7 linked regions of the Sus scrofa genome follow. The protein of the gene in region 1 interacts with the protein of each later gene in a biochemical or structural test. Links are inferred from orthologs where the notes say so. Each region holds a gene or a part of one and is shown in the gene's direction. Other genes may lie near its edges.

Region 1 (4,273 bases):
TGCTGTGAGCTGTGGTAAAGGTGGCAGAGGCGGCATGGATCCTGTGTTGCTGTGGCTGTGGTGTAGGCCAGCAGCTACAGCTCCGATTTAACCCCTAACCTGGGAACCTCCATATGCCGTGAGTTCAACCCTAAAAAGCAAAAAGAAAGAAAGAAATTAATTCTAGGCAAAAACAAAAACCTGAGTGCCTTCCCCCTTCTGATCATCTTATCATCTCAGCCATCCTCACCAGGTGGCAAATGAATGACCTTGGAATAGTCCCACATTTCCAGCTCTGTAAAATGGAGAGTGATGTCCCCTAATTCACCTAATTTGTATGTTAAGTGAAACGTTCTCTAAGTTGGAGGAAAGGGCTGCAAACGACGTAGTTTCCGTATATATATGTTAATGTTTCTATTACTATTATGACTGTTATGTAAGTGGTCAGGGCAAGGTGAACGCCCAGAGGGCAAAGGTAGCCTCCGCCAAGGAATGGGCCCTCCAGGGCGCATCTCAATACGGAGCAAGTTTAAAGAATTTTAGCCAGTAATCTTGACTCGGGGTGAGAGGTTGAATTTGTCTTAATCAAGGCTCAACCGTTCTTGAAGTCTTCGGGCTTGAAACTCTAGGAGAAAAAAGTAGGCTTTCTGGGCAAGATCCGAAATGCAACGCGGATTGGGGCCTCACTGCCACCTGCTGGGCACCAGGGGGTGCCGGTTGGATCCATTTGAAGTCTGGCTGGCTTGGGGGCTGCCACTCTGGGTGCGCCGGACCGCCTCTGGACAGGATCCGGGGAGCTGGTGGTAGAAGTGCCCGAGGTTCATGACTTTCGGAGACGCAGTGCCCTTTCCGCGTCCCCCTCCACCTCATTTCCAGCGACACCCGGGCACAGAAGGCCTGGGAAAAGTGTGAGCGCCTGTGGTGGGAACGGTGTGCCCATCTGGGTCCCCCGAAGAGCGGCGAGGACCGCGACCGCTCCGACGGCGCGGTCAGACTCTTGTTCAAGGGGAGGCAGCTGTTCTTCCAGGCAGCCGTGGGGGGCAACAGAGGGGACGGCGACAGGTGCGGGAGCCCCTCCCGGGGTGGAAGTGAAAAGGCGGGCTTCGGGGTCTGTTCCCAGGCTGGAAGCCACCCCCGCCCCCCAACCAAATCCCCGGGAGAGGCCCGGCCGGCGCCGGGTCTGGAGGAGGAAGCGGCCGGAGACAGTGCAATTTCACGCGGCCTCTGGGGCTCGGGTTCCTGGGCAGGGTGGATGAGTTATGGGGTTTCGAGGGGGTTTGGGGGAAACTGAGGTGGCCTGAGTGGGCGGCAAAAACACCCTCCCACTCAAAAACACACATGCAGAGAAACATTTACATTCAGATAGAAAATCCCCCAAGTGACCCAACCGGCTAGGGGAGTTGAGTGATTTGGTTGGTGGGCGAGGCCAACTTGCAGGGGGCTGGGCTTTGGAGCGCTCTCCCCACCCCCATTACCTTTCTCCTCGGGAGGCATTTGGGGGCGGCTGGAATCTTGGCCTCTCCTTAGTCCAGCTCCTGGAGAAAAATTAGGGTGAGACCCATCCGCGATCTGCGTGGCCCCAGTTGCCCGGCACTGGAGCTTGGGGCGCGCTCGGGGCGGGCCGCCGAGGCTCCAGCAATCGCTACTCCAGCCTAGCGCCCGAGGGGGCGCGGCCGTGACTCACCCCCTCCCCCTGCGCTCCCTCCTTCGCTCCCTCGCAGACTACACCCCTCCCCTGCTATCCCGCCCCGGACTCCGGCTCCGGCTCCGGTTGCAATTCGCAACCTCCTCTGCTGCCGCTACCAAGTCGCTGGTGGCTCAGGTGGCTCCGCTTCGATGTCCTAGTCCAGGGGCTCCCCCGGCCGGATTGGGCTGGGCTCCCCTCACCCGCCGCTGGAGTCATGAGGGCGAACCGGGCTCTGCAGGTGCTGGGCTTCCTCCTCAGCCTGGCCCGGGGCTCCGAGGTGGGCAACTCTCAGGCAGGTAAGCGGCGCGGGAGCACCGGCAGGCTCGGAACTCGGGATCCCGAGCGGAGCGCGCGGGGTCCGGGAGGGCAGGGGCAGGAACCCGGGCTGTGCTAGGCTGGGGTGCGGAGCCCCGGTCCGCTGGGACCCCTCCTGGGCGGGGAACGTCAGGATCGGGTTCTCGGCGTGGTCCGGGCGGGGAGAGGATTCCTGCACCACCACCTTCCCCTGGGCACCTCCTCCCTGGCCCGTCGCGGACCCTCTGATTTGTCTCTCGGGATAGGGCTGATGCGCAAACATTCACACTTCTGAGGGACCCTGCAGGAAGGGGAGCTAGGACCCCCATTCTGTAAACGTGAGGGCCTGATTGGAGGTGGAGATCTTGGAGGGAGCCGGGCGGGGAGAGGGGGTCTCGGTTTGCACCCATCCTCCTGCCCCCTCCTGCCCCCTCCTGCCCTCCACCACCTCCAGTTTGGTTGTTTTGCCGACAGGGCGGAGCTGTGGAAGGGGTGTGTGTGTGGGGGGGGGTAGGTTGTTGTTCTCTTGTGTTGGAAAACAAGAGCAGCACCTCCTCTTCCGTGAGTGGGTCTGCCCTGGGGAGAGCTGAGATTAACCCCAGGGCCAAGTCCAGGTGACAGCAGGTTGAGAGGCCACGCAAACACTGCCTGCCTCCTTTCTCTCAAAATAATAAAAGTTGGCTGGTTCCAGACTCGACCAACCTGTTTTTAAGACCCCGATCAATTCAACTGGTATTTATTAAGCATCTACTATGTACAAAGCCCTGGGCCAGGAGATGAAGGGGCAAGGACTTCCAGTGGCTGTTTCTCTCTCAGGGCCCACAGGGCTCCTCTCCCATCTTCTGAGGCGCCTGTCCTCCGAGTTCCTTCTTAGACACAGCTTCCCCCCCACCCCCCATTCTGTTTATTGTCTGGCTGTCTCTAGGAGTCTAGACAAGAGTCAGTTTGCTCCACTATTCCTCCTTCTACTCCCATGCCAGCTGAACTCACCCCTTTGGGGTGTCTCTGGGACCGTGGACACCTGAGGGGTGCTGGGGTTGCTGGCATGGGAGGAATCCTGTTGCTCTCCTCCCCTCCCCCCCAGACCTCAGCTTGGGGTTTGGCACAGCCAGGGCCCCTTCCCCAGGGTGGGAGTGGGAGAAACACCTGTGCTTCCCTCACAGTTGCTGGGCCTAAATTTAGAGCCTGGGATCTTGAGATGTGAACACTCCCAGCTGGTGGAGGGTGGGGGTCTGGGGATTGAAGTGGGAGAGACTGAATGGAGGGACTCTATCACTGTCCCATCCAGACCCCTGGAATCTTCAACCCAACCGGGAACCCAGGAGTCCCAGACCCTGGCCACCTTCCCCGAGGGAGACAGGAGGCAGGCATGGTTGGGTCTCTTTACCCTTTATCTGGATCCTGCAGCCTCTGGGCATCCGGCCCTGTCTCAGTCCTTCTATAGCCCCTTTGTCCTGCCTGTGATGGGGGTGGGGGACTTTGGAGAGGAGGCCTGTGGTTGAAGAGGGGCTGGAGATTCTTGCTCTGACCCACCCCAGTGCTCTCTACCAAAAGAGGGCCTGTGACACTGGCTCTCCCAAGGCCCCTGGTCCCTGAGTACAGCAGAGATGGTCTATTTCCCCTCCCCCTCCCCTCCTCCCCAGGCTGCCCAGTTCCTCCTGAGAGGTGTTGTTCATACTCTCTTCCCGCCCAGCCACCCAGCCCTTTGCTCTCTGTTTGTGTAATACGGACTTTACCCTCAGGGAGGCAGGGAACTGGGACATCTTACTCTGTAGCCTCCCAAGCACAGACACAAAGTCTGCACAGACACATATGGGCAGGTGGGATGGATGGGGCCACCTGAAATACTTCCTGATAAGGAAGCCCAAGGACAGAACCAGTAGAGATTTTGGGGCCAGTAGGGGAGCTGTGTACATGTTTGTCTGTGTGTGTGTGTGTGTGTACACGCACACATCCCGCTTCCCTGTGTGGAAATCTTGGCTCCTCCCTTATCAGGGGAGAAGGGTTGGCGCCTTGACTTGGAAGAGAGGGTGTCCTGCCAGGAAGGGGGTTGGGGTGGGGCTTTTCCAGAAATGACTAACCTTCCTAGTCGTTTTCTTTTTAGCCCAAGGACCCTAGCATTCCCAGGCTCCTCTGGGAGCGCCTGGCCTTTTTACCCCTCTGCTAGGTCTAGCTCATCCCATTCCCTTTAGGAGGTGTGACAGGGAATAGAAGGCCTTCAAAGGTCAAGTGGGCAGACTAGGGGTGCATCTTGGAGGAGGGCTTGGGGCCTCACCAATCTCCCTTCCTCCGTTCCCGCTCCTGCCTCCCACT
Region 2 (4,100 bases), on another chromosome or scaffold:
TTTCGCCACACCTTCCATACCTGCTCAGCCACACCTGTAAGGCCTCCTGTCCTTCCTTCTCCACCCCCATTCTGCCTCTAGATGCTCTGTCCCCTTTTGCCAAGGGCTTTGGCGCTTGTTCTGTCATCATGAAAGGTGACATTCCCATCCATCAATCCACTTCTGTCCCCTGCCCCAAGACAACTTCCCCCCTGCTCCAGGGTCACTTCCATGGAGAAGTCTTTCCCAACCTCCCAGGTAAGTTGTTCTCCCAGTGTAGTTGTCTCGTGCCATTTCTTATTATTTGTGTATTCTTTGATTAACATAAGTCTTTGTGATGGAGCTGCATGAAGATAAGGGCAGGTCATTTTGTTGTATCCCCAGTGCCAAGCATGGGGTTTGCATATAGTAGGTACGTAACAAATATTAGTCAAGTGAATGAAGGAGTGACTGAGTGAATGGTCTACTGCGCTTTGCACAAACGCTTCTGTGGCCCAGGTGACCTCGCCCCTCCCTCACTTCTTGGCTTAGTCCTCTCATACTGGTTTTTCCAAGGAAAACCCAGTTTGGAGAAAGTTGAGCCTGGAGCCACTCCTCCACGCCCCCCCCCGGGGGGGGCAGACCTCTTATCACCCCTATGAATTGTTTGTTTATCCAACTGTCACCCGCTTGGGCTGGGAGGTGGCTACTGTCTTTGATCTCAGCCTCTCAGGCGGGCTCTTCACCGTTGTGTTTGCCTAGTGCTGAAGGAGAGCGCAAGGGGAGTCCCCTAGCACCTGGCCAGAGCTTTCCCCAAATCACTCCTCTCACCAGGGGACCTCGTCTAACCCCTTGGATTTCAGGAGACTGAGACCCTGGACTTTGCTCAGAAGACAGGATTTAGCCCAGGTGCCTCCGAGGGGCCAGGATGCAGGCTGGGTGGCCAGACTGTGGCTGGAGGTCAAGGGGCAGGCCAAGTTGCTGGACACCCCTCTGGCTGGCCTCCGGCTTTCGAAGAGTCGCCCTTTGCCCCAGGGGGGTAGGCCCCAGAGCTGCAGTCAAGCCCCCTAAATTGGCCAATGAACATTCCAGGTTTGGGAAGGGTGGGCGGGGCCCTTTCCCCTGACCTTCTAGCCCCCAGCCTCTCCCTCCCAGGTGGTGAGGACCTTCGCTCTCGGGCTGCTCAGTTCAGTTCAATCGCCTCTCCCCAGTCACCTGCTGCCAGCCTAAGGACAAAAACAATCCCAGCCAGCGTAGTGTTGGGGAGGCCCCGCCCCTCCTCCTGGGCTTCCTCCTCCCACGCCCCTCCCCCGTGCCCCGCCCCCACCTGCCCAAGATAATTTGTTTCCCTGGGCAAGGTGCCTGGACAACAGGGCTCAGCCTTCCCCCTCCTTCTGTGCCCAAAGTCAGGACACCCTCCTACCACCTGTAGAATAGAGGGAGCCGATTTGAAATCAAGTCCAGGTACCTGAGGTTCCTAGACAGAGCCGGACTTCAGCCCCTGTGTCCTGCGACTCCTGCTGGGGCTCTTCCAGGTAAGGGGACGGAGATTCGTCCCAGAAGACAACTTGCTCCCACCTCTAGCCGCACCAGGGCCCCAGGCTGTGCCAGTCTCAGGGCCAAGAGCTGGCTGGCTGGCTGCCCAGGTGGGCGGCCAGGCGTCTGCCTGGCTCCCCCTTCCCTTCCTCGCTCAGTGATGTCAGGCCAGGGCGGGGACAGGAGGAGGACAGGTAGTTAAGGGCTTGGCGTCTTCCTCCTTAAATCGGTGGCCCCAGCCCGGTGTACCAACGCCCAGGGTCCAGGTAAGGACCAAAGCGGACACTTCATCTTGGGGGTGGGGAGCCCCAGGGTCCATATGGAAAAAGATTCGGCCTCCTGCTGGGTTGCTCTGGCGGCCTCACTTTCTCTTTTCCTCCAGCCTCCCATCCCGCCCCCTCCTCACCAGCTGCCCTCAGTCTTTCCCTACTCTCATCTCCTGCCCTCCCGGCTCCTCCCGACCCTCTCCGCAACTCCCCGCACCCAGGTCGCCCCCATCCCAAACGCACACTCACCAGCTGACGGGGCCGGGAAGCGAGATCACAGATTCTCGCCTCCTGGAGACGCGGTTTTCCCGCTGAAACTAGCCCCTCCCCACATTCCCAGAAAGAGAGCTGAGAGGGGAGGGTCCAGATACCGAGGGAGCTGCCCCAAGTCTCTCTCTTGCTCTGTCTGATTTGACCGCAGCTTGAGTTCCCCCAAGTCTTTATGAAAGAGTCGTCTCCGCGGGGGCCACGGGGGCACCCTCAATTTGGAGGGCAGTAAGGGACAAGGATTCCCTAAACTGCCAGAACGCCGTCTCTCTGGAGTGTAGCCCCCACTCGGCCACAAGGATGCCCTCGGATGGGACGGTGGGGGTGGGCAGGCGGGGGGTCCCTCCTGGCTTCCGAAAGATGTGGTCTCGGTAGACTGGAGGGTTAGATGCGGGGGGATCCGCAGTGCCGTGTGCGTGTGTGTGTGTGTGTGGTGGGGGGTGCTGGGGAGTGTGTGCGCGCGTGCCTGGGGCGGGGGCGAGTGCCTTGTCTGAAGCGGCTGGGGAAAGACCCGGGTCCGAGTCTGGGCCTCCCGGGCAGGTCGGGGATGGAGAGTGCACCTGCCCGCCATCGTCAGTCCTTCCAACCCCGCTGTCCCTCGGGATTGCCCCCTCTTGGTCTGCCCGTCCTGGACTCTGCTCTCCCCTCTCCCCCTGCTCTCCTGCTGGGGGGGCCCCCCGTGAAGGCAAGCGGCCTGTAATGATTAACTTCGCAGACACTCTAGCATTCTTCCCAAATTAAACTTTAAAAGAGCTGCCCCCCCTCACTCCCATTGGGTGTTTTTTCCCCTTAGTGAGGGAGTGGGCGGGGCCTCAGGGTCCCGGGCCCTCCCCCCAACTCCGGGTCACCTAGGGGTTTCCCGCCTCCTCACCTGGGCCCTCGCCCTAAGAGCTCCCCGACAGGTAAGGCCTCCCCCCCGCTCCAGGGAGGGGGCGCGGGGTCCTGGGCCTGGAGGGCGCCTTCCCGCCTCCTCCCGGCGGGGGTTCAGGCTTCGGCTGTTCCGGCCCCTCCCCCCACCTGGGAGGCACGGAAGGTGGCCTTGTTTTCTCCCGGCCCTAGACTGTGGGCCCTGCCACCCGCCCTCGGGGCCAGCCAGGTGGGGCCAGATTCAGGAAGTAAACAAGGAGGCAGGAGGCCGGGAGGGCGGGCAAGAGGGTGGGGCTGGAGCCGCCGGGACAGGAGAGGCTCCTGGGGAAGCCGCAGGTACGAGCGAGACGCAGTGTTGAGGGGACAGATGGAGTTGCGAGGCTAGTTGTTTAAACAGAGCCTTTAGCGAGGGACCCAGTTTGAAAGCTTGAGAGTCTTGTGGATGCGGAGGGGGCTGGGTGGGGGGGTGCGCTGCCCAGGCTCCAGGGCTAGGACCCGGTTCTACTCCCACCTCATCTCTCTTGCAGCCCCTCCCCTAGTCCTCCCTGGAATAAAGTCACCAGGGCTGTTTGCCAGAGAGGAGGCTGGGGGTGGGAGGGGGCCCTGTGTTTGGTGTGGATGGGCGCCCGGTGGGCGTGGGGTCCCCTTTCCGGCAGGACCCTGCTCTCCCTCCCTGCCGGCCTGTCAGTCCTCTTGTATGTTCTTGACTTTCTTTTTTCTTTCTTTCTTTCTTTTTTTTTTTTTTTTTTTTTTTTTTTGCTTTTTAGGGCCGCACCCACAGCATATGGAAGTTCCCAGGCTAGGGGTCAAATCGGAGCTGCAGCTGCCGGCCTACACCACAGGCACAGCAAAGAGGGATCCAAGCTCCGGGGCGGGGCCCTGACCTACAACACAGCTCACAGCAACGCCAGATCCTTTACCCACTGAGTGAGGCCAGGGATCGAACCCGCATCCTCCTGGACACTAGTCGGATTCTTTTCCCCTACACCACAACGGAAACTCCTGTTCTTGACTTTCCACTCCTGCTCCTGAGTACACCTCTGGCCAGACAGGCGAGGATGTTGCTGCATGTAGAGTGAGGGGCACCCCGGAGAGGTTAACTCCATTTCAGATGGGCTTCTGAATCCGGGCCAGGTCTTTTTTCTCTCCCTCCTGGGTGAGGGGGCTCTTGGGCTGGGCTAGTGGCCAGGAGCCCATAGTAGGTCC
Region 3 (3,500 bases), on another chromosome or scaffold:
TTCTTTAACCCACTGAGCCACAGTGGGATCTCCCCAAAGCCGTTTAACCACTGTGCCATACCCAGCCTCACTCTCGCTTTGGCAGGAATGAGAGATATTTCAGGTCTGGGTAGTTCTCAGCACCAGGCCTGCTGGAGTCAGAGCCTGATGAAATCTGATCCCAGAGTCAGAGCCGTGGTGATTTCTCTTTCTGATCCTATCCTCCCAACAGTCCTGAGAGGTCTGCTTTCTTCCCACTTTGTAGATGAGGACCTGAGGCCCAGAGAGGGGAAGTGACTTGCCCAAGGTCACCCAGCAGGGAGAGGTGGAGCAGGTCCTCTAGTGCAAGACCCTTGACTCCATACCTGGTGTTTGTGCTGAGACCTCGGGCTACTTCCCAGGTCCTCTGGGAGAGCCCCTGCCTTCCACCAGGTGAGGTGGTGACCTGTCAGGGCTGCCAAGTTGAGGGAGCTGGGAGGGATGGCTGTGGGGGGTGGGGGGAGACCTGGCCAGGCACGGTGGGTGGGAGCCAGGACCTGAGGATGGAGACATGGGAAGCGAAGAGGGGTGGCAGGGCTGCGGGCATCCCTGGGGAGTGTGCAGCTTGGGTGTCTCTCTGCTCCCTGATCTCTAGCCCTCCCAGATTTCTGGCTCGGAGATCTCTACCACTTTTTCCCCCTCTATTTTGGTCGCCACCTGGCATATGGAGTTCCTGGGCCGGGGATCAGATCTGAGCAGCAGTTTCGACCTAAGCCACAGCTGTGGCAATGCTGGTTCCTTTAACCCACTGTGCCAGGCTGGGGATTGAACCTGCACCCTGGCGCTGCAGAGACACCACTGATCCCATGGCACCATGATGGGAATTCCGGCTCAGAGAACTCTTAACTCTTGAGAGATTCATTCATTCGTCCAGCTGTTTATTGAGCACCTACTGTGCCATACATACCCTGTGTTAGGTGCAGGGAGCACAGCAGTGAGCTAGACAGGCAAAGGCCCATGACAACAATCATATAAACCCATAAACAACCCCCAAATCTGGGCCACATTTTATCAAGAAGAGGCACAAAAAGCAGAGGGACTTAGACCAGTGAAAGGAGTTGGGAAACCCTTCCCAAAGAGGTGACTTTTCCCCCTTGATAGCTGTATTGAGATGTAATTGACATACAATAAACTATACTTATTTAAGGTGTATAGCTTGATAATTTTGACACATGGATGCACTCACGGAACTATCAGCACAGTCAAGATCATCCATCACCCCTAAACATTTCCCTCCCATCCCCCACATGCTGCCTCCAAAGAGGTGACTTGACTTAGGCTGGGAACTGAAGGAGGCATGAGTTACTCTGGTGAAGGGATCAGGGAAGAGCATTCAGGCAGAGGGAACCACATGTGCAAAGGCCCTGGGGCTGGAGTGAGCTCCCAGCCATTTCTCCTTCTTCCAGCTGCCTGCAGTACCCCTGCCCTGGCTGCAACTTTTAGCACTTTCCCTCTGGTGTGAGACAGTTTCAGTCAGGCATGTATTAACTCAACAAACCCTTAGCCCTTTCCGATGTGCCTGGAACACAGATGTGACTCAGACACGGCCCTGCCCCCAATGGAGAGAAACAGTGACCTGGGAAGGTTGGGGAGGTTAGGGCTTCTGATTATGAGGTTTCTTCTGTGCTTGGCCCTGTACCAAAGAAGCACTTCATGGGTACCATCATTGTTCCCATTTTACAGATGGAGAAACTGAGGTTCTGGAAGGCTAATTTACCCAAAGAGACCTCTTTGAGCCTCAGTTTCCCTGTCTGTAGAATGGGTGGGAGTGCAAGCTTAGGGACCCCGGCAGCCCGGCCTGCTCCCTGAGGTCTTCACCCTAAGGTTCTCTCTCATCTCCAGCAGAACCATGGGCAGCAACAAGAGCAAGCCCAAGGACGCCAGCCAGCGGCGCCGCAGCCTGGAGCCTGCCGAGAACACCCACGGCGGCGGGGGCGGCGGCGGCGGTGGCGGTGGTGCCTTTCCCACCTCACAGACCCCCAGCAAGCCAGCCTCCGCGGATGGTCATCGAGGCCCCAGCACGGCCTTCGCCCCTGCGGCCGCCGAGCCCAAGCTGTTTGGTGGCTTCAACTCCTCGGACACTGTCACCTCCCCGCAGAGGGCGGGGCCCCTGGCTGGTCAGTGGGCCTGGGAGTGTGGGTGCCGGGTGCCTAAGCTGTCGGGCTTAGGCTGCTCTGCTCTTTCTCTCACTGAAGGGGAGGAGCCTGTGGGTTACTGGGCCTTGGGGACTGTTGGGAGTTGCCTGGAGGCTTTATAAACTGGAAAGTGTGGTGCACACTTCATTGCTTCTAGGGGTGAATCCGATGCAGAGCATAAAGGACCTAGAGATAGAGGACGATAGAGAGAAACTGAGGCCGTGAGAGCTGGGGGCTTCTCAGGGAGGCACAGGGAGCAGCTTGGAGGCTTTGCTCTTGGCTCTGGTCAGCCCAGAGAAGGATCAGGACTGGAGGCGGTGCGTGGCCAAGAGGGCGGGGCTCTTTGGGAGGGAGACGGGGGGCTTCGGTCTTCAGAGCCCCGCCGAACGCCGAGGTGCGCCCCTGCGCCCTCTGCTGGCGCCTTGGTAATATAGCAGTCCCAGGCACACTTCATTGCCTTTAGGGGTGAATCTGATACAGAGCATATCGTCCTAGAGATAGAGGACGAGAGAGAGAAACTGAGGCCATGAGAGCTGGGGGCTTCTCAGGGAGGCACGGGGAGCAGGTTGGAGGTCCTGAAGACGCACAGACCTAAGACCCTCACACAAACACGACACTTACTCGGACACCCTCAGACAGAGCCACACACACACAGAGTCAGTAGCTCATTCGGAGACACCCATAGAGGACCCCCAGGCTCTAGGATCAAAACAAAGATGCCTGTTATTGGGGGCTTCTGCTTCTATGGGAAAGACAGGTACCAAACAGATAAACCAACAGCTAGCATAACCTAGAGCCCAGTGGGCACACTCAGACACGGAGAGACACGCATGCTTCCTACACCTTTCACAGGCTTGCCTGGACCCCTGGACAAGGTGGGCATGCATAGAGGCCCGCCCCCTGTGAATGGGACCAGGCCTCTGGGCTGGTGGTAGGAGACCAACTCCGCCCCTCCCCCCAGCCAAGGCCTTGGCCGTTCTGACACGCCCCTCTTGCCCTGCAGGCGGGGTGACCACCTTTGTAGCCCTCTATGACTATGAGTCACGGACAGAGACTGACCTGTCTTTCAAGAAAGGGGAACGGCTCCAGATTGTCAACAACACGTGAGTCCCCCGCCCCCCCTTCCCCGTCACCCCTCTGGACCCTGATCCAGGGCCTGGTCTTGAGACAGACAGCTTTGAGTGACCCCAGAGTGGGGAGGCCAGCCTGATGGGCAGTGGGGAGAGCTCAGCATCAAGGCAGCCAAGGTCCAGGGAGCTGACCTGGGGCCTGCAGGAGTGATGAGGCAGGGGCTCTGGGAAGGCTCTGTAATTGGTCAACAGAGCACAGCGTTCCAGATCACAGAAC
Region 4 (4,120 bases), on another chromosome or scaffold:
ATAGAATCCCAGAGTAAAGGATATTAAGTTATAATGCTTTTAAAATCTTAAGGTCTCATAATATGGATCAAGCAGGCCATTGAGTAACAAACAACCTCAACTTAATTTTATTAGGTCATTCAATATTTTTCACCATAAAAGAACATAAAAGAAATATTTTCCTCTAAATGCTAAAAATGTGTTCTTTCTGTTGAGTGCTACTTGTTTGAAAAGAACATCCTTGGGAGATGAAGGATTTCAAATAACTCCCTCAATCTGTCGGGGATAGGAGGGGATGGGACTGGGATGGGGTGAGTTAGGGTGGGGGGGTATGATATTCAGATGGCACAGTATTTAGCCTACACTTCCTCAGGTCTGAAATCCTCTGTTCCAGCAGGCACAAGGGCACCTTTCATTCCATCCAGTTATTTTTTAAAGAACTAACTAGTTGACAAAGTGCCATAAACTTTATACAAAATGGCCTTATTGAGCAACTATTTTATTCAAGCAACGATCCTAGAGGCAGGACTTCATCGGTCAGAAAATCATGGTGAATCAGGCATTTCCATAGGAGAAAAGGCAAGGATAATCTAGACAAGCGTCATGCAAAGCAGAGTGTGAAGGAAGCTTCAAACCCTAAGTGCTCACTGTGTGTGCGCCTTAGCAGGAGAGCGAACGACAGTTAAAGTTGTTTTAATTGCAGCTTGTCTCCTGCGAACGTGTTGCTCCCTTTGGACTCTCCAGTAACCAGTTCACCCAAAACTTTTCTGCCACGAGGCCCCGCATCTCCCGTGTGCCCCCCTTCCTTCCCTCGCCCAGCTAACAGGTCCCCAATGGCTCAAGCGTCACCTCTTAGTCCCCGGGAAATCTCCGCAGCCCACTCGGACTGCAGCTCAGCTCGGTTGCCGCCCGGCCCTCCCATTGCCGCAATCGGGGCGACGGGAAGGGAGGAGGTGCGCAGGCCAGGGCTGACCCCGGAGGACTGACTCGTGGGCCAGGCTCGGGCATCAGCATGGGGACGGGAGGCGCGAGCCGACTTCGCCCCGCAGGTAAACAGGCCGGCCAGGCGCAGGGCGCTGCCGCCGCCGCCGCCGCGGCCACCCAGCGATTTCCAGGCACGCAACTCCGCCTCCAGGGCTCTCTCCCTCGCGCTCTCGCCCCGCCGCCCGCTCGCAGCCTCAGCAACCGCCGCAGCATCACTTCACACAAAGGACTGTTACCCGCCGAGCAGCTCCTCCACCTCCACGTCCTCCTCCGGTGACAGCCCCGACAGCGGGGCTCCGGCGCGGCGGCGGCGGCGGCGCGGGGAGGACCTGTCACTCTCAGCAACCGAGGCGGTGGCGGCGGCTTTATTCTTATTATTTTTCTAATTTGGCTTAAAAAAAATTTTTTTTTGCCCTTATACCTCTTCGCCTTTCTGAGGTTCCACCCACCTCTTTTCTCCCTTCCTCCTCCTCCCGTAAACAACTCTCCCACAGCCCCCGCCAATAAATAAATTAGGAGGAGGGTAAAGGGGGAGGCGGAGAGAGGAAAAGGGAGACAGCGCGAGAGACCTAGGCAGAGTCCGAACCGACAGCTGGGAGCCCGCACGCACCTCGCACCATGAGATGGCGACGCGCCCCGCGCCGCGCGGGGAGGACGGCCCCCGGGCCTCGCGCTCCGACCCCGCAGCCCGCTCGCCTCCGCCGCCGATACTGTTGCTGCTGCTGTGGACCACGGCCCTGGCGCCGGGGGCGGCCGCCGGCAACGAGGCGGCTCCCGCGGGGGCTTCAGTGTGCTACGCGTCCCCGCCCAGCGTGGGCTCGGTGCAGGAGCTGGCTCAGCGCGCCGCGGTGGTGATCGAGGGAAAGGTGCACCCGGCGCGGCGGCAGCAGGGGGCACTCGACAGGAAGGCGGCGGCGGCGGCGGGCGAGGCAGGGGCGTGGGGCGGCGAGCGCCAGCCGCCCGCCGCGGGCCCGGGAGCGCTGCCCGCGAACAACCGGACTGTGCCCTCCTGGCCCCCGGCCCCGGCGCCCAGTGCCGCCGAGCCCGGAGACGAGGCGCCCTATCTGGTGAAGGTGCACCAGGTGTGGGCGGTGAAAGCCGGGGGCCTGAAGAAAGACTCGCTGCTCACCGTGCGCCTGGGCGCCTGGGGTCACCCCGCGTTCCCCTCCTGCGGGCGACTCAAGGAGGACAGCAGGTACATCTTTTTCATGGAGCCCGACGCCAACAGCAGCGGCCGCGCACCGGCTGCCTTCCGAGCATCCTTTCCCCCTCTAGAGACGGGCCGGAACCTCAAGAAGGAGGTCAGCCGGGTGCTGTGCAAGCGGTGCGGTAAGTTCCTGGCCCTGCGGGGCGCGCTCGGGCCGGGCGGGGAGGGCGCATTCCCGGGGCGCGCCGGGCGCTGGGGTTCCGCGGCTGACCGGTGGACGCGGTCGGAGCAGGGGGAGTTGCGCGGTGGGAGCCTCTGGGCGCCGCTCAGAGGAGGAGGGTTCGCGGATTGGATTCCGCGGGCAGTGCCTTCTCCGGTTTCCCGTTTTCGAGGCTTTGCTATTGGTGAAAGCCCAAGTTTGGTTCTGGCTTGGGGCCGCCTCAAACTTTTTAATCCCTTGGGGTTTCGTTCACCATGTCAAATGGAAATGGGCCGGCTGCTTTCTTGTTAGTGCCTTCTTGAACTTGGCTGTGGTTCTGAGTTGTTGAGAAGGGCGGGCAGCCATGTGGGGCTTTTCCTTTGAAACAGGAAGGTTTGGAACCTCTTCCCATCACTTAGGAGTCCGGAGTGTGGACTTGGTCAGGGATTTGTGCCTGTGTCTTTCCGAGGGGGAAAGGACGGAGCACTGAGTGAGATTCCCTTTGCAGCGTGGTAGAGTTTTTGTCCAACTCGGGCCAGCAGTCTGTACCTTGTGAATATGGTATGTGCGAACTATAAAGCAGGGTGTTTTCTTTTTGGTTGAAATCATCTCCAGAATTGTTGTTTTCACCATATTTTGGCTCGGAGAGTGTTTGGCCCGTCAGTGAATCAGAACAGATGAATGTCATTACGGAACTTCACATGTAGGCCCTTAAGGAGAATTTCGGAAGAGTTCAACAATACAAACTTCCCCCACCTTTTCCAATTTTACCACTGTAAATATTCTTCCCGGGGCCTTTATCAGTATTATCGGGTCTGAGAAATTACATTCTTAAAGTAATTTCTAGGTTTTAAATATTTGTAACTTCCTAATGTTCATATAATCACTAAAACATGGCAGGGTTTCTTCTCAAACCGTAAATTAACATGATTACACATCACAAAATCTAACATGCATAATAGATTTTCCCTTGGTCTTTATATATCTGTCTAATAGATGGGTTAATTGAATTTTTGCAAAACTCAGCATCACACCATGCTCAGTCTGGCTGTGATGCAAAGTGTCAGTTCTTTAAAATTTGTTACAGGTGATGGCCAAGTGTGCAATTTCTGATTGGCGTTTTGTGGTGCCTCTGTCCTGTGGTTAATTAATGGCTAGAGATTGGGTTTTAATGTCAGGAAAGAGCTCTGCTCATCCTCCCTTTCCTTATTCTTAACAAGGCACTTTGTGTGCCACAGACTTGTTAGGATTGCACCAGTCTGTGGCCAGAAGCTGTTCTCAAACAGTGGTGCTGAAGAAACTGAGTGGCGTTGGGATTCCCTGGGTCTGGCTGATAGATGTCACTGAGAACACGGGAAACTCTCTGCTGGGAGCTGTCTTATTAGGAAAGACAATAGCTCCACACCATTGTCTTGCATCTTATGTTATTTGGTCAGAGAAGCTGAAACAACCCTTTTGAGCCACGCCAGCATCCAGTTTTCACATGTTTTAGTCTATGCAGTTGAGGAAGGATTTTGCTTTGACCCCAAACCACAGGCGTTGTGAATCATTTACTACACATAGTGAAAGTTAGCGTAGAGGGGATCATAGTTAGCAGTGATGCCTAGGATTGTGGGGTGTGTTGCTAGGTGAGCAGTGGTGTTATGCCTGTTAACTAGAAAGATGGCAGTTTTCAGAGGTAAAGTTCTTATAAAGGTCCAAAGGATGTTTGGAAATGGAAAATTTGTGGAGGAATACTATTCTGTTTTCATGCTTCTAGGCTGAAAAAGCTTCGCTGAAGGTAGTTTTGCTCTTCTGTTTGCCAGTCAAAG
Region 5 (4,042 bases), on another chromosome or scaffold:
CACCACAGCCACAGCAATGTCAAATCTGAGCCTAGTCTGTGACCTACACCACAGCTCATGGCAATGCCAGAGCCTTAACCCACTGATCAAGGTCAGGGATCGAACCTGCATCCTCATGGATACTGGTCGGGTTCTTTACCTCAATACATTTTTAAATTAATAGATTTTAAAAGAACAACTGAAATATTCTGGAAGGGGCACAGGCAGCCTGGCCTTCTTGAGTCTCAGGGCTGACGTAATAAAGATTTCCTTTTTTCCTCTTTTTGTCTCTGTCACCAGGCTATGAATATTTCATCCATCATTCATCTCTATGTTGTCACAGGCTGATAAACCTGGTACTTAGGCTTTTTGGAAGAAAGTCTAAAATAAGCAGTAGCAGCCCCCAGTGAAAAGTCCACAGGGCTGTCCTGGAAGGGAGGGACGTGGGCTTCTTGGCTGGGCTTGCAGCTTCTATTTTGCTGTCTAGAAGCTTTGGGGATGGTCTTTGTGTTTTTCTCCTATGTTCCAAAATGCTAATACCATCTTTCTGATAAGTGAGGTTTTACTGTACTACTGTATTCTTAAAATATTAATTCACTCTCTGAGATTATATATCCTCTTACAGGCAGGAAATTTATGTCGCTCTTTCTATTTTAAAATGGCCAATTTCCCTCCACTTGCCTCATCATAACAAAAGAATTAGGAATCTCCTGTTGGCTAAAGGGTTAACCACTGTAGCTGTTTTTTTTTTTTTTCCTCCCTGGAGACAGAGAACATGCAGGCCTGTTCTATATTCCTTTCACAAAAAAGAATCAAGGGCAAGGAGCCTAGCCTAGGTTTTGAATGTGCATTCACTGTACATTCATAATAAATGCTGAACAGAATGGAACATTCATGGTTATTCCTTGATGTAAATGAATGGCTGAATGAAAGTTTTAGGGCAGAGCTCACCTCCAAGAGGGCAATTCTGTTTATACTTCTACCTGACCAGTGGTTCTGGAATTTCCTTGAAAAACTAGTTTTTCCTCTCTTCATGACAGCGGTCCCCATGCGCCCAGCATCTTTGTAATCAGGCTGGCTTTTTTTTTTTTTTTTTTTTTTTTTTTCCCACACTGCCGTTGGATGAAAGATCCCGCCTTTGATTGAAATGGAATCTTCCACTATTGAGCAAGCTTTTGTTGAATGAGTCATCGGGGCGGCTGCTCATTGGCTGAAGCCGCTGGAACCAGGGGATTGCCTGGCGCCGGCTGCAAGGCCCTGCTTCATTCACAGAAACGCTGGCTCGCTCGCTAGCCCTTTCATTCACACAAACAGCATTTCATTCATATTTTGCTGTTTTTGTCTGCTTCTAATGAAGATCACGATTGGGGAATGATAGGGCATTTTTGCTTTAGATGTGGGGGGACTTCGATAACCATCACAATCATCTCTGGGGTGTGCGTGTGCTGTTGCTATGCAAGCCAGGGGAAGGAAAAAAATGAGTGCCAGGCGGTTGCTCGGCTAGGCCTGCGGCCCTGGGAGGGGAGCCGCTGCTCCTCTGCGCTTCTGCTTTCCAGCAGCTGGCTTCACCTGGCCCTCCCTGAGTGGTACCCGTTACACCCTGTTCCATAAAGCTCTTCCAGGCTTGGTACCTCAAGTGTCACATGTCTAGTCGTGGGTGTGAGAAGACTCAGGGTGACCTGATAACGTGCTAGAGGTAAATTCATTTTTTTGCACGGAAGTAATCGGGAAACTTGGCCAGGCAGCGTTTTACTGAGTGGGGCAGCTTCTGTCAAGGCATGATGAAGACTGGCAGAGCCTGGGGTGACAGGAGTCTGGGGGTTTTGGTCTGTGCAGACCTTCTGGGAGGGGGTGGGAGCAAGGCTCTGTGCTGCTAAGGGTCAGGAAGGCCTGTGCGTTTCACTTGCAATCCGTATCTGACTCCTGAAAATAAGGCATTTTTTTCTGTGGATTTGATGTGGAATGAGAGCAGCTGCATCTTTTTTTTCTTTCTTACTGCAGGGTTGCAAGCAGCAACTAAAGGGATATTGAAATGTATTTGTAGCGTTTCTTGGGCATTTTTCCAGAGCTTGAGCACATTCAGTTGGAATAAAGCTTCAAGCGCAGCCCCCTTTTTGGAATAGATTTCTGGAGTTTCATGCCATTTATCAAAGAAGCACTCTTCTTTTTCGGAAGTAGGTTTTCAACTTAGCCCTGGCTGAGAGACTGCTGCAAATTAGCAGGGAAGAGACCCTAACTGGCTCTGTGCAGAAGTTCATATGCAGATTTTTTTTTTTTTTTTTTTTTTTTTGAGGAACTGCATTGCCACAAAGACACTTGTCATGGCCGCTCTGTCGATTTGAAAAGAAAAAAGAAAAACCTGGAAATTGGTATTTTATATTTACCTGGGAGTGCATATTCTTTAAAAAAATTTTTTTGGGGGCTATTTAACAATTCCCTGCTTTCAAAATCAGAATTCATGAGGATCCACTGAAGATCTTATTCTTAAAAAGCCTTCGTCACATTTTAAGGCAGCGCCGTCAGCTGCTTTCCCAGGCTCACAGATGGGCTGAACAGGGAAGAAAAAACCATAGCCTAGAATAATAGGTTTCAGAAAGTTCATCTGATCATCTGAAGGAACTGGATTTACCTCTGGCACAAATGCTGGGGTGGGGGTGGGGGGTGGCGAGGGATGGGGAGGTGAAAAACCAAAGGTTGGAAGAAAATATCTGGGAAGGTAGAAAAAGGAAATTTGAGAATTGATTGGCTCTAGTGTGCTGTCAGTGGGTGTATGTGGTTTTTTCTTCTTTTTTTCCTTTTTTTTTTTTTTTGCTACAGGAAGTGATTTGCAGTGCTCACCGAGCCTTTGTTGAGAAGGGTCTCCTCTCGGAGTGAGTCATGCTTTTGCTGTGAGCAGCCCCAAGCAGCTGGGCGCTCATCAGAGGAAACTATGACTTTTGCAAAGCAAACGTGCCGCCCTCAGCAGCCAAGTCCGGGGCCGGGGCTGCGCGTCCGCGGCGGTGCGGGGTGTTAGCGGTGGGAGGCCGGCGCCGCTGCTCGCGCCCCCCAACCAGCTGTCCCGGCCGCTCCGTCCCGCCCCGGGGACCGCGGCTCGCCTGCTATGCGCGGCAGCCCGCGCCGGGGCCGGCACCTGCAGCGCCCGGGCGGATGCGGCGAGCCCACGGAGGGGCATGCTTCCACGCACCAAGTACAACCGCTTCAGGAATGACTCGGTGACATCGGTGGATGACCTTCTGCACAACCTGTCGGTGAGCGGCGGGGGCAAGGTCTCGGCGGCGCGCGCAGCCCCGGCGGCGGCCCCCTACCTGGTGTCCGGAGACGCGCTGCGCAGGGCGCCCGACGATGGGCCAGGCAGCTTGGGCCACCTGCTCCACAAGGTGTCCCACCTGAAACTCTCCAGTTCGGGCCTCCGCGGCCTGTCGGCGGCCAGGGAGCGGGCGGGCGCGCGGCTCTCGGGCAGCTGCAGCGCTCCCAGCCTGGCCGCCCCGGACGGCAGCGCGCCCCCCGGCCCCCGCGCCCCGGCCATGCGCGCCGCCAGAAAGGGCCGACCCGGCGACGAGCCGCCGCCCCGCGCCCCGCACGCCAACGACCAGGTGCTGGGGGCTGGAGTCACCTACGTCGTCAAGGTGGGTGCGGGCGCGGGCGACAGGGTAGGGAAGCCTGGGCACAGGGGCTTCCGGCACGGTGGGTCGTCTTGGAGGTCAGGAGGTGCGCACTTGTTTGTAGTCAGCTCGCCTGGCAGCGGGGACCAGGCACAGCTAACGCGCCCGTTGCGCATCCATTGGGAGAAGGTTTGAGATCAGTGACCTCAGTCTGTCCTGGTTTCCCTTGGCCCCGCTCCTTTGGCATGTCTTTGCCACCCCACTTGGTCTTGTGTCCAGCCAGTACCCCTCTCGGCATGGGCCGCCATGCCTGGAAACTGTGCTTCAGGCCTACTAGGGTACAGGGGGAAGAACTGGGCAGCCCCAGCTGTGAGAAAGGCAGTTGGTGTCACTACTTCTGCTGTGTTTGCCCCAGGCGGCAGGGTAGGTGGTTTCATTTCTCCCACAGCAAGAATTTCTAG
Region 6 (3,500 bases), on another chromosome or scaffold:
TCTTCAGGTATTTTTAAGCCATGCTCCCACTTGCTTCAGCAGCAGGAGAAATAGTTGTTTCTTCATGAAAGAGAATGTTCTTTTACATACCTTCTGGGTATGTAGTCCATAATGCCATCTTTTGAAAACATACCAAGGACTTTTTTTCTTCTACTTAAATTAACAACAGCAGGCCAACAACAACAGAAACTATTGTGTTTGGCACTTTCATTATTTTTTTTTTCAAAAAATTATTTTGGACTGTGTCAAAAAAGTAAAACTAAAGGTACTTACTGAAAATGATCATTTGACTGAAAGTACGAAATCCAGTAAACTTTTGGGTTTTTCATTAATTGCTCTTGAAACTTATTGCATAACTCATAGGTAGTATCCCATGTTATTTGAAACCTTAACATGTCCTATATGTTCATTTATGGAGAGTTAAACTAGGCTTTCTCTTTTTTTCTAGGTATGTAAAGTGAACTTTATTCCTTTGATTTCTTTGCTTTTTTCTTTTAGTTATCCCTAGATAATTGGAAAAAGTTAGGTAAATTTAACATTCTTGGAGTTTTGAGGAAACCTTAGACAATATTTATTGACCAAGGTGACTTGTTTTATTTGTGGGAATTCCAATAAGGTTGGTGAATTTAACATACTGTTCTACTGAAAGTGGATAAATGGTTATTATTTGGATGACTCCTAAGTTATAGTCCCTGCAGCTAGAAGTTTGATCCTTTGCCTTGAGACATTTAATTACATGCATAATCACTGTTTTCTCAAAACATATTTTAACATTTTGTAAGCTATGGAAAATCAGATTGAACTTTTGTGGATTGTATCTTGTGTGAAAATTTAGGCAAGAAATTATCATTTGTAGGTATAATATAAATCATAATGATATAATAACATATCTTGAGCCTTTTTTATGTACCAGGTACTCCGCTGTGTGCTTTTGTACATATCATTTCTAATCTATACTCCAACAGTGTAGACTCTATTCTAATTTTATATCTGAGGAAGATGAGGCTCAGAAACTTACTTGTGCAAGGCCACACAAGTAATTGGTGGAAGGGGTGAAAGAGAACCTGATACTAGAGAGTATAACTTTTGACATCAAAACTGAAAAATAGGAGTTGTGTTGTGGCGGAGCAGGTTAAGGATCTGGCATGGTTACTATAGTGACTTGGGTTGTTGTTGAGGCTTGGGTTCGATCCTAGGCCTGGAAACTTCCACATATCACAGACGTGGCCAGAACAACAAAAAACAAACAAACCCACATACGCACACACAACTTGAAAAATGACTTAGCTTTTTTGGATCTCTATCCTTTTCTGTAAGAGGAGAAGGTAGAACCAGTGTTTAAAGTGTACTTTCTAGCTGTGGAACTCTGTATAGAAATAAAATCTTCCAGATGAACATTAATATAACATGAGATTTTGATTTGGGTAGTGACAGTTGCTTACTTAAATTAGTAAAGAATCCTCAACTTTATTTTTCTCTGAACCATTGTTTTATGGTAGAAAAGGTGTGTTTATTTCTGCAAGAAATATAATTGGAGGAATATATATAATATAAGAATATAATTGGAGGAATAACTTATAAAATATATAAGAATATAATTGGAGGAATAACTTATAAAATAAAATCGAATTTATTTTTTTAAGTGGGACGACTATGTGAGTGTTGTATTTTATGTCACTTAAAAGAGAAACTATAACTGAAGGTCATGCTTTCTGGAAAAAAAGGAGAGAAAATAAATCACTATTTTGGGTTTTTATTTTGTAATAGTTGCCTTTGAAACCTAATGCATACTTCTTGAAATCTAGGGTAATAATTTTTGTGTTTTCTTTAGGTCAGCAGTCTTGTTTTACATATTGAAGAAGCCCATAAACTCCCAGTAAAACATTTTACTAATCCATATTGTAACATCTACCTGAATAGTGTCCAGGTAGCAAAAACTCATGCAAGGGAAGGGCAAAACCCTGTATGGTCAGAAGAGTTTGTCTTTGAGTAAGTCTTATTTTATCATTACATTAGATGCTTTTCTTTTACTATAATGCATTTTCTTTCTTTCTTTTCTTTTTTTTTTTTGACTTTTTCTAAACCAGTCAGAACAGGTACCAAGTCCAGGCTTGTTAATAATACATACTTACTTTTTCTATTGTATTTGTTCACTTTTATTAGTAAAGTGCTATATCCTTGGTTTTTCACCTAGTTATTAATAGGAATTACTGTAACTGACACTTCCAGAACCATTTACTAACATACACATATAGGATGTTTCCAGGGGTTTCCAGGATTTACTTGAGGAAGTTAAAGATGTTAGGGAAAGTATAATTTGCTTGTCTGTATTCCTGTGTATCAAATAATAAAACATGTTTTGAATCTAGTTTTAAAACTAGCACTCTCAACTGGGTTAATAGCAGAAATGGGGATTTATTTGATACTAAGAATAAACAAATTTGATAGTTTGATGCCAGGATATTTTCTTAATTCTTTTTCTCCTTGCTCCTTTAGTGATCTTCCTCCTGACATCAACAGATTTGAAATAACTCTTAGTAATAAAACAAAGAAAAGCAAAGATCCTGATATCTGTAAGTTCATGCAGAAATTGTGTTCTAAAGTTAAAAAAAAAAAAAAGGATGTTTCATATACTTTAAAATTCATAATGAGGTATTTTCTAAAATGAAAATTTAAAAGATGTGTAAGTAGTATAACTTGAGATATTTTCTTTTTGTACTCTAAAAGTATTGGTTGTTGAGAAAGAATGTATCTAAAAAAGAAAGGGGGAAAAAAAAAAAAAAGACCAGGATGGCTAAATTGCATATACTGTAAACTTAAGCTTTTAAAATTAGTGTTCTCCCTCCCTCCCCAATGAATGAGAAGAACAAGAAAACACTAACAGTGGTCATTTGTCTATGGTGCTTCCCTGTCCCTTCTTTTTACTTTGTAGGCTTCTCCTGCTTTCCTATACATTGCATGTAAGTGGCCAAAAGCAGTCTATTAAAAAGTTTTCTTAAAACGAGAGGACAGTTGTCACTTCTGGTGGTCAGGGCTTGTTCTCAGCACACCTTTTCCCAGCCTGAAACAGGCTATTTTAGAAACAGATGGCAGTGGGATTTAGTGATTCACATCATAGTAAATTAGGTTAACACTTAAATATCTTCTTAAAGGTTAGGCTTGAGGGAAAAAGGGATATATGTTAACAGAATCAAAGGCTGAATTTTTTTTTGCTGTAAATAATGTTTATTCTTTGATTTCTATGCTATTTAAATGCTTAATATTTTTTAGTGGTTTTTCATTACTTTTAAGATAGAATCTAACCCTGTAGTAATGACACAGAAGAAAGACCCTTTCCTGATCCACTCCTCCCCACTTTTACTCTCAGTAATTAAAACCTCTTCTCCAACTATATCACTTTGTTTTCTTTTCTCGTTTTATTGAAGTATAACTGATTTACAGTGTTGTGATAATTTCTGCTGGACAAGTGATTCAGTTATACATATGCACACATCTATCCT
Region 7 (4,185 bases), on another chromosome or scaffold:
GGTATTGAATACATATTTGTGGAAAGCACGTGATTGTGGCCAGTTTCTTCAAGGTTATTGAACTCCAAGGAACCTACAGCAGACGGGCCCCCTTCCGCTATCTGGGTGAAATCTGGAAATCCCCACCTTCTGGGGGAATCCCTTCCTGTAGCTCCAATGGCAGGACTCAGGCCTGATTGTTTAACAAACACTCAAGCAGCAGTGTTTTCCCTTGGGCAGAGCCCTTTGCTAACCGCTCTTTAATGCATTAACTCATTTAATCCTCACAACCCTGTGAAAAGGTGTTATTTCCATTTCACAGATGCGGAAATGGAGGTATGGAGAAGTCAAGTCATTTGCCCAAGGCCAGAAAGAGGGGGAGGCAGTGGAATGGAAGAGTATGCTGTCTGGAAAGGGGTGATGTGGCCCCCCGCAAGCTGGGGGTGTGAGCAACTTGTTTCCTGTTGTGGGAGGGAGAGAAGAGCAGACATTCCTCTCTCTCCTCCCTCTCATGAGCTGGGGGAAGGGCTGGCTGTGTGTATGCTCCACCTCAGGCTAATTGGGGACCCCACTGTGAACCTCACCCCACATAAGGCTCATAGATAAAATGAAAGTAGCCCGGAGGAGACCAGAGGAGGAGGCCCAGAGGGCATGGGAGCAAGCGGTCTAGGAGGGCTTCCTGGTGAATGATGCGCTCCTGGAGTTAGGGGACAGATGAGGGCATAGAGGCCAGTCTATAGAGGCAAGGGCTGAGACAAGAGAAAAGCTGAGGGTGGGGACAGAACCCAACTGGGGGCGCTATGGGGGTCGGCTCAGTAGAGTCAATAGTCTGGGCCGGGCGGGGTTGGGATCCTTCCCCGGGTGATGATGAAAGCTGCGGTCGCTATTGCACTGACCGGCCCGGCGCTTGCAGATAAGGCCCTGCAGGAGGGAGTCGGCAGGGTCGCGCCCCCCGTAAGTCTGGCGCTTCGGCCCGGCCCCGCCCTTAGACTCCGCCTTTCCTTCATCTGGCCCCGCCCCCGCAGAGCGGAGGCACCCGGTGGTCGCTGGAGCTAGGTGGGTGGGCCCAAGGTTGTCCCGCCTCTCCTGCCTTTCGTTCCCTTCTTTAGGCTGCGCGATGCAAAATCGGGTGGGCGAGCTATGGGCGTGACAAAGGCCACGCCCTCTCTCCGGATTCGCGTTTGAGACCCCAGGACCTGGTCAACCGCGGAGCAGGGATGATGGGCGGGGTAAGAGCAGGCCCCGCCCCCCGGGGGCCTGCTCCCCTCTAGCGGTCCGGCTCGCGGGCAGACTGGGGCGGGGCCTCGTGTGGCCCGGCCCTGCCATGGCCCCGCCCCTGCCGTGGCCGCCCTCCCCCGCCGGGCTCTGCTCTCACAGCCGGTTCCTCTTTACATAACGGCGCGGGGCGGCATGGGCTCGGGCCACTGCCTCCGCCCGGCCGCCCGCCCGGACTGTCGCGGCTCGCCGTGGCGACGGCGGCGGCAGCAAAGTTTCCCCGGTGGCGGCCGGGAGGCGCATCCTCCCGCAACTGTCAAGCGCTGGCGGCGGAAATGATGAGGCGCTGGCCATTTTCCGAGCCTGGGTTTCCTGCCTGAGCCCCGCTCGAGCGAGCCGCGAGCCAGGAGCCGGCGCGCGGGAGAGAAGGCGCCCGGGGCTGGGGCCCGCCTGCCCCCTCGGGATTTCGGGGGCCCAGGGGCGCGCGACGCCATGGGCCGGCCGGGCCCGGACCCCCTCTCTCTCAGGTAAGCCTGTCTTTCCCAGCGCTGCCTTCCTCTGGGTCTGGGAGAGCTTTAATGGGGGGAAGAGGAGGGCCCGGGTCCCGTTCTACACAGTGTCTGCGCACTCCCACAGCAACCTAAATATTGTCCTGCAGCTAACTCAGATGAGAGTGTTCTGAGGTGACCGATTCCCAGCTCCTGCGACACCCTCCCAGCCGACACCCCACCCACACACGTGCTGGGGATGTATGGGGGTATAAGTGAAGGTCGTGCGGGAGGCGCTGCCAGAGGATATGGCTAACAGTCCCAGTCCACCTCTTAAGGTAGCTCAGCCAGTCAACTGTGCCTGGTGAGGAGGGGTCAGGGGTCACCTGCTTGGTACCTTGAAAGCGAAAGTAGTAAACCTGAACTCTTGAGAAGGGAAGAGTCATTCGGGAGTTAGACTCAGGCCCCTCCCCACTCTCCCTGGCCAGGCCCATGTGGCTAAGAGGGTAGCCCTCCCCTCCCATTCCAGGACTTGCTCTCCCCATTCCCTGCATCCGGGAGGTAGAATGGCCCATGTAACCCTATGCTGCTGCATTTGAGGGTTCAAAAGGGTTAGGGCTCTCAGAGCTCAGGTCTCTGGGTTGGTACCCTCCCACCCTGGACCTGGGGCTCCAGGGGAATCCTCCCACCAAAAACAATGGGACACAGGTCATTGGCCTTATAGGTCAGCAGGGCTGGGAGGGTATTTCAGAGGCCCCTAATAATGCCTGGTGCAGAAATCCTCCCCCTTCCCTCATTCTGTTCCTGGGACTTTTGGGGCAAAAGGGACTGCATTTGAGGAACTGGGGAGGGGGCCCTGCCTGCCAGTCCACTTTTTTTCTTTAGTTTCCTCATTCTCCTGTTTCTCTTCCCTATTCCTGGGCCACAATGATGTAGGTGAGGAGGTCATTGCCTGCAGCTGGGGGCCTCCAGGGAGGGGAATGGCCAGGCCAAACTGAGTGGGAGGAAGTGAAATTGGGCTGCAGGCAGGGGTTTTGGAACAGAGGGCCTGGCAAAGCCATTTCTGAAGGGCCTGGGTCCAGCTTTGGGAGCTGGAGGGGCAGAGATCTGACTGCCACCCCCTCACCTGGGAGATGAGCATCCCCTGACACCTACCAGCTGCCAGGCTCAGCTGGGACAGTCAGCCCATCCTGGGTCCCCATTTACAGTCCATCTCCCGGGCCCCTGCCAGGGCGGTGAACGCATGGGTCTTTAGGGCTGTGGGTGCGAGTTGTGTCTGGATTTCCCATCACCGACCTGGCTGCCAGAATGGAAACAGCTCTGGAGGCTCACTTGGGCCAGTGGGGGCCGGAGACCCAGCCCTAGTTGGGGGAGAGCAGGCTGAGGCCGCCTGGTCAGGCTGGGGTCAGCAGATGAGAGGCCAGGGCCCACTGGGGAAGTTGGAAGGGTTTTTAATGTAGTTTTTTTCGGAGCCTTTTCCCACCACCCCCCCTCTGGGAGGGAAAATCCTTCTGAGCCAAAGGGTGAAATTCCTAGAACTTGTGTGGGTCCCTGTGGGCCACAGAGGCAGCCGGCTGGGAAGGGGTTGGACTAAAGTATCGGTTGCTGGCGTCTGAGGACCTTCAGGGGCTGAGCAGCGGCAGAGGTGGGTCCTGGAAGATTAGGTTCAGTTTCCCCACCGCCTTTTTCTAGCTGAGGGCACAGGCAAGTGACACGGTGAACCTCAGTTTCCCCCTATGTGAAATGGGGTAATAAGTTTGTGGCAGGAATGTAATGTGCCTGGCATTGAAAGGGATCAAGTACAGGTGGCAGTGCTGGTGGTGGATTTCATCCCTACCATCGTTAGTGCTATTGTTACCGGCTGAGGAGCCTTGGTTCCTCAGCATCCCTTGATAATTCATCAGCCTCCCTTGAGTGCCTCCCGCAGGTGCAGCTCTGGGTTTTCCTGAGTCTTGGAGAGAATTCTGGAGGCTATAGCTATGAGGCCTTGCTTAACCATCACAGCCTTGCTTTCTTCATCTGTCAAATGGGTGTGGTAATAGGACCTACTTCTTAGGGTCATTGGGACCATACATTAGTAACTCCACAAACTGTTTAGAATGACTTGGTCAGAAGAAGGAATGGTCATAAGGGTGAGATTGTTATTATCTTTGTTGTGGATATTAGCTCTGCTTGTTTTTCTTAGGGATTCCCCTCCCCCCAACCCCCATTCTTCTGAACCCTGGGCTCATCTTTCTCCAACAAACAGACCTTTCTGGTACAAATCTAGATCCTGTAGAACAGCTCCTAATGTGGTGGCAGCCTAAGCCCAAGTGCTGGGTAGCCCTGCAGCTGTTCAGCCTACAGGAGTTCCTGCATGTCCTGTCTGGTTGTGCCACCCCAGGTGGAGCCTCCCTGAGGGCAGAGGGGCTAGAGGCACTTGGAAGGACCTTCCAGCTACCAGTCCCAGTGTGACCCACTCTGTGTTGGGGAGACAGGGCACATAGAGCACTCAGTGATGGCT

What was found.
Region 2: the proteins of ERBB3 (region 1) and GRB7 form a complex in vitro, tested with the Homo sapiens proteins (2 studies listed by BioGRID and IntAct, with this or other methods). The link is inferred for Sus scrofa from reciprocal best matches to the Homo sapiens genes ERBB3 and GRB7.
Region 3: the proteins of ERBB3 (region 1) and SRC form a complex in vitro, tested with the Homo sapiens proteins (2 studies listed by BioGRID and IntAct, with this or other methods). The link is inferred for Sus scrofa from reciprocal best matches to the Homo sapiens genes ERBB3 and SRC.
Region 4: the proteins of ERBB3 (region 1) and NRG1 form a complex in vitro, tested with the Homo sapiens proteins (8 studies listed by BioGRID and IntAct, with this or other methods). The link is inferred for Sus scrofa from reciprocal best matches to the Homo sapiens genes ERBB3 and NRG1.
Region 5: the proteins of ERBB3 (region 1) and SHC3 form a complex in vitro, tested with the Homo sapiens proteins (2 studies listed by BioGRID and IntAct, with this or other methods). The link is inferred for Sus scrofa from reciprocal best matches to the Homo sapiens genes ERBB3 and SHC3.
Region 6: the proteins of ERBB3 (region 1) and RASA1 form a complex in vitro, tested with the Homo sapiens proteins (2 studies listed by BioGRID and IntAct, with this or other methods). The link is inferred for Sus scrofa from reciprocal best matches to the Homo sapiens genes ERBB3 and RASA1.
Region 7: the proteins of ERBB3 (region 1) and SH2B3 form a complex in vitro, tested with the Homo sapiens proteins (2 studies listed by BioGRID and IntAct, with this or other methods). The link is inferred for Sus scrofa from reciprocal best matches to the Homo sapiens genes ERBB3 and SH2B3.

What each region holds. Positions count from the first base shown.
Region 1 is NC_010447.5:21,472,745-21,477,017, forward strand, and holds the start of ERBB3 (receptor tyrosine-protein kinase erbB-3), read left to right. Parts: upstream 1-1,473; 5' UTR 1,474-1,880; coding exon 1,881-1,962; intron 1,963-4,273. UniProt on the Homo sapiens protein: Tyrosine-protein kinase that plays an essential role as cell surface receptor for neuregulins.
Region 2 is NC_010454.4:22,580,583-22,584,682, reverse strand, and holds the start of GRB7 (growth factor receptor-bound protein 7), read left to right. Parts: upstream 1-1,300; 5' UTR 1,301-1,493; intron 1,494-1,513; exon of another isoform or gene 1,514-1,760; intron 1,761-1,766; exon of another isoform or gene 1,767-2,929; intron 2,930-2,938; exon of another isoform or gene 2,939-3,230; intron 3,231-3,801; exon of another isoform or gene 3,802-4,100. UniProt on the Homo sapiens protein: Adapter protein that interacts with the cytoplasmic domain of numerous receptor kinases and modulates down-stream signaling. Promotes activation of down-stream protein kinases, including STAT3, AKT1, MAPK1 and/or MAPK3. Promotes activation of HRAS.
Region 3 is NC_010459.5:40,501,989-40,505,488, forward strand, and holds part of SRC (proto-oncogene tyrosine-protein kinase Src), read left to right. Parts: intron 1-244; 5' UTR 245-411; intron 412-1,860; exon of another isoform or gene 1,861-1,863; 5' UTR 1,864-1,867; coding exon 1,868-2,135; intron 2,136-3,156; coding exon 3,157-3,256; intron 3,257-3,500. UniProt on the Homo sapiens protein: Non-receptor protein tyrosine kinase which is activated following engagement of many different classes of cellular receptors including immune response receptors, integrins and other adhesion receptors, receptor protein tyrosine kinases, G protein-coupled receptors as well as cytokine receptors.
Region 4 is NC_010457.5:53,685,204-53,689,323, reverse strand, and holds the start of NRG1 (pro-neuregulin-1, membrane-bound isoform), read left to right. Parts: upstream 1-1,320; 5' UTR 1,321-1,586; coding exon 1,587-2,292; intron 2,293-4,120. UniProt on the Homo sapiens protein: Direct ligand for ERBB3 and ERBB4 tyrosine kinase receptors. Concomitantly recruits ERBB1 and ERBB2 coreceptors, resulting in ligand-stimulated tyrosine phosphorylation and activation of the ERBB receptors.
Region 5 is NC_010456.5:833,291-837,332, reverse strand, and holds the start of SHC3 (SHC-transforming protein 3), read left to right. Parts: upstream 1-1,242; 5' UTR 1,243-1,675; intron 1,676-1,822; exon of another isoform or gene 1,823-2,348; intron 2,349-2,796; 5' UTR 2,797-3,149; coding exon 3,150-3,605; intron 3,606-4,042. UniProt on the Homo sapiens protein: Signaling adapter that couples activated growth factor receptors to signaling pathway in neurons. Involved in the signal transduction pathways of neurotrophin-activated Trk receptors in cortical neurons.
Region 6 is NC_010444.4:94,970,115-94,973,614, forward strand, and holds part of RASA1 (ras GTPase-activating protein 1), read left to right. Parts: intron 1-1,831; coding exon 1,832-1,989; intron 1,990-2,496; coding exon 2,497-2,573; intron 2,574-3,500. UniProt on the Homo sapiens protein: Inhibitory regulator of the Ras-cyclic AMP pathway. Stimulates the GTPase of normal but not oncogenic Ras p21; this stimulation may be further increased in the presence of NCK1.
Region 7 is NC_010456.5:32,621,926-32,626,110, forward strand, and holds the start of SH2B3 (SH2B adapter protein 3), read left to right. Parts: upstream 1-1,385; 5' UTR 1,386-1,721; intron 1,722-4,185. UniProt on the Homo sapiens protein: Links T-cell receptor activation signal to phospholipase C-gamma-1, GRB2 and phosphatidylinositol 3-kinase.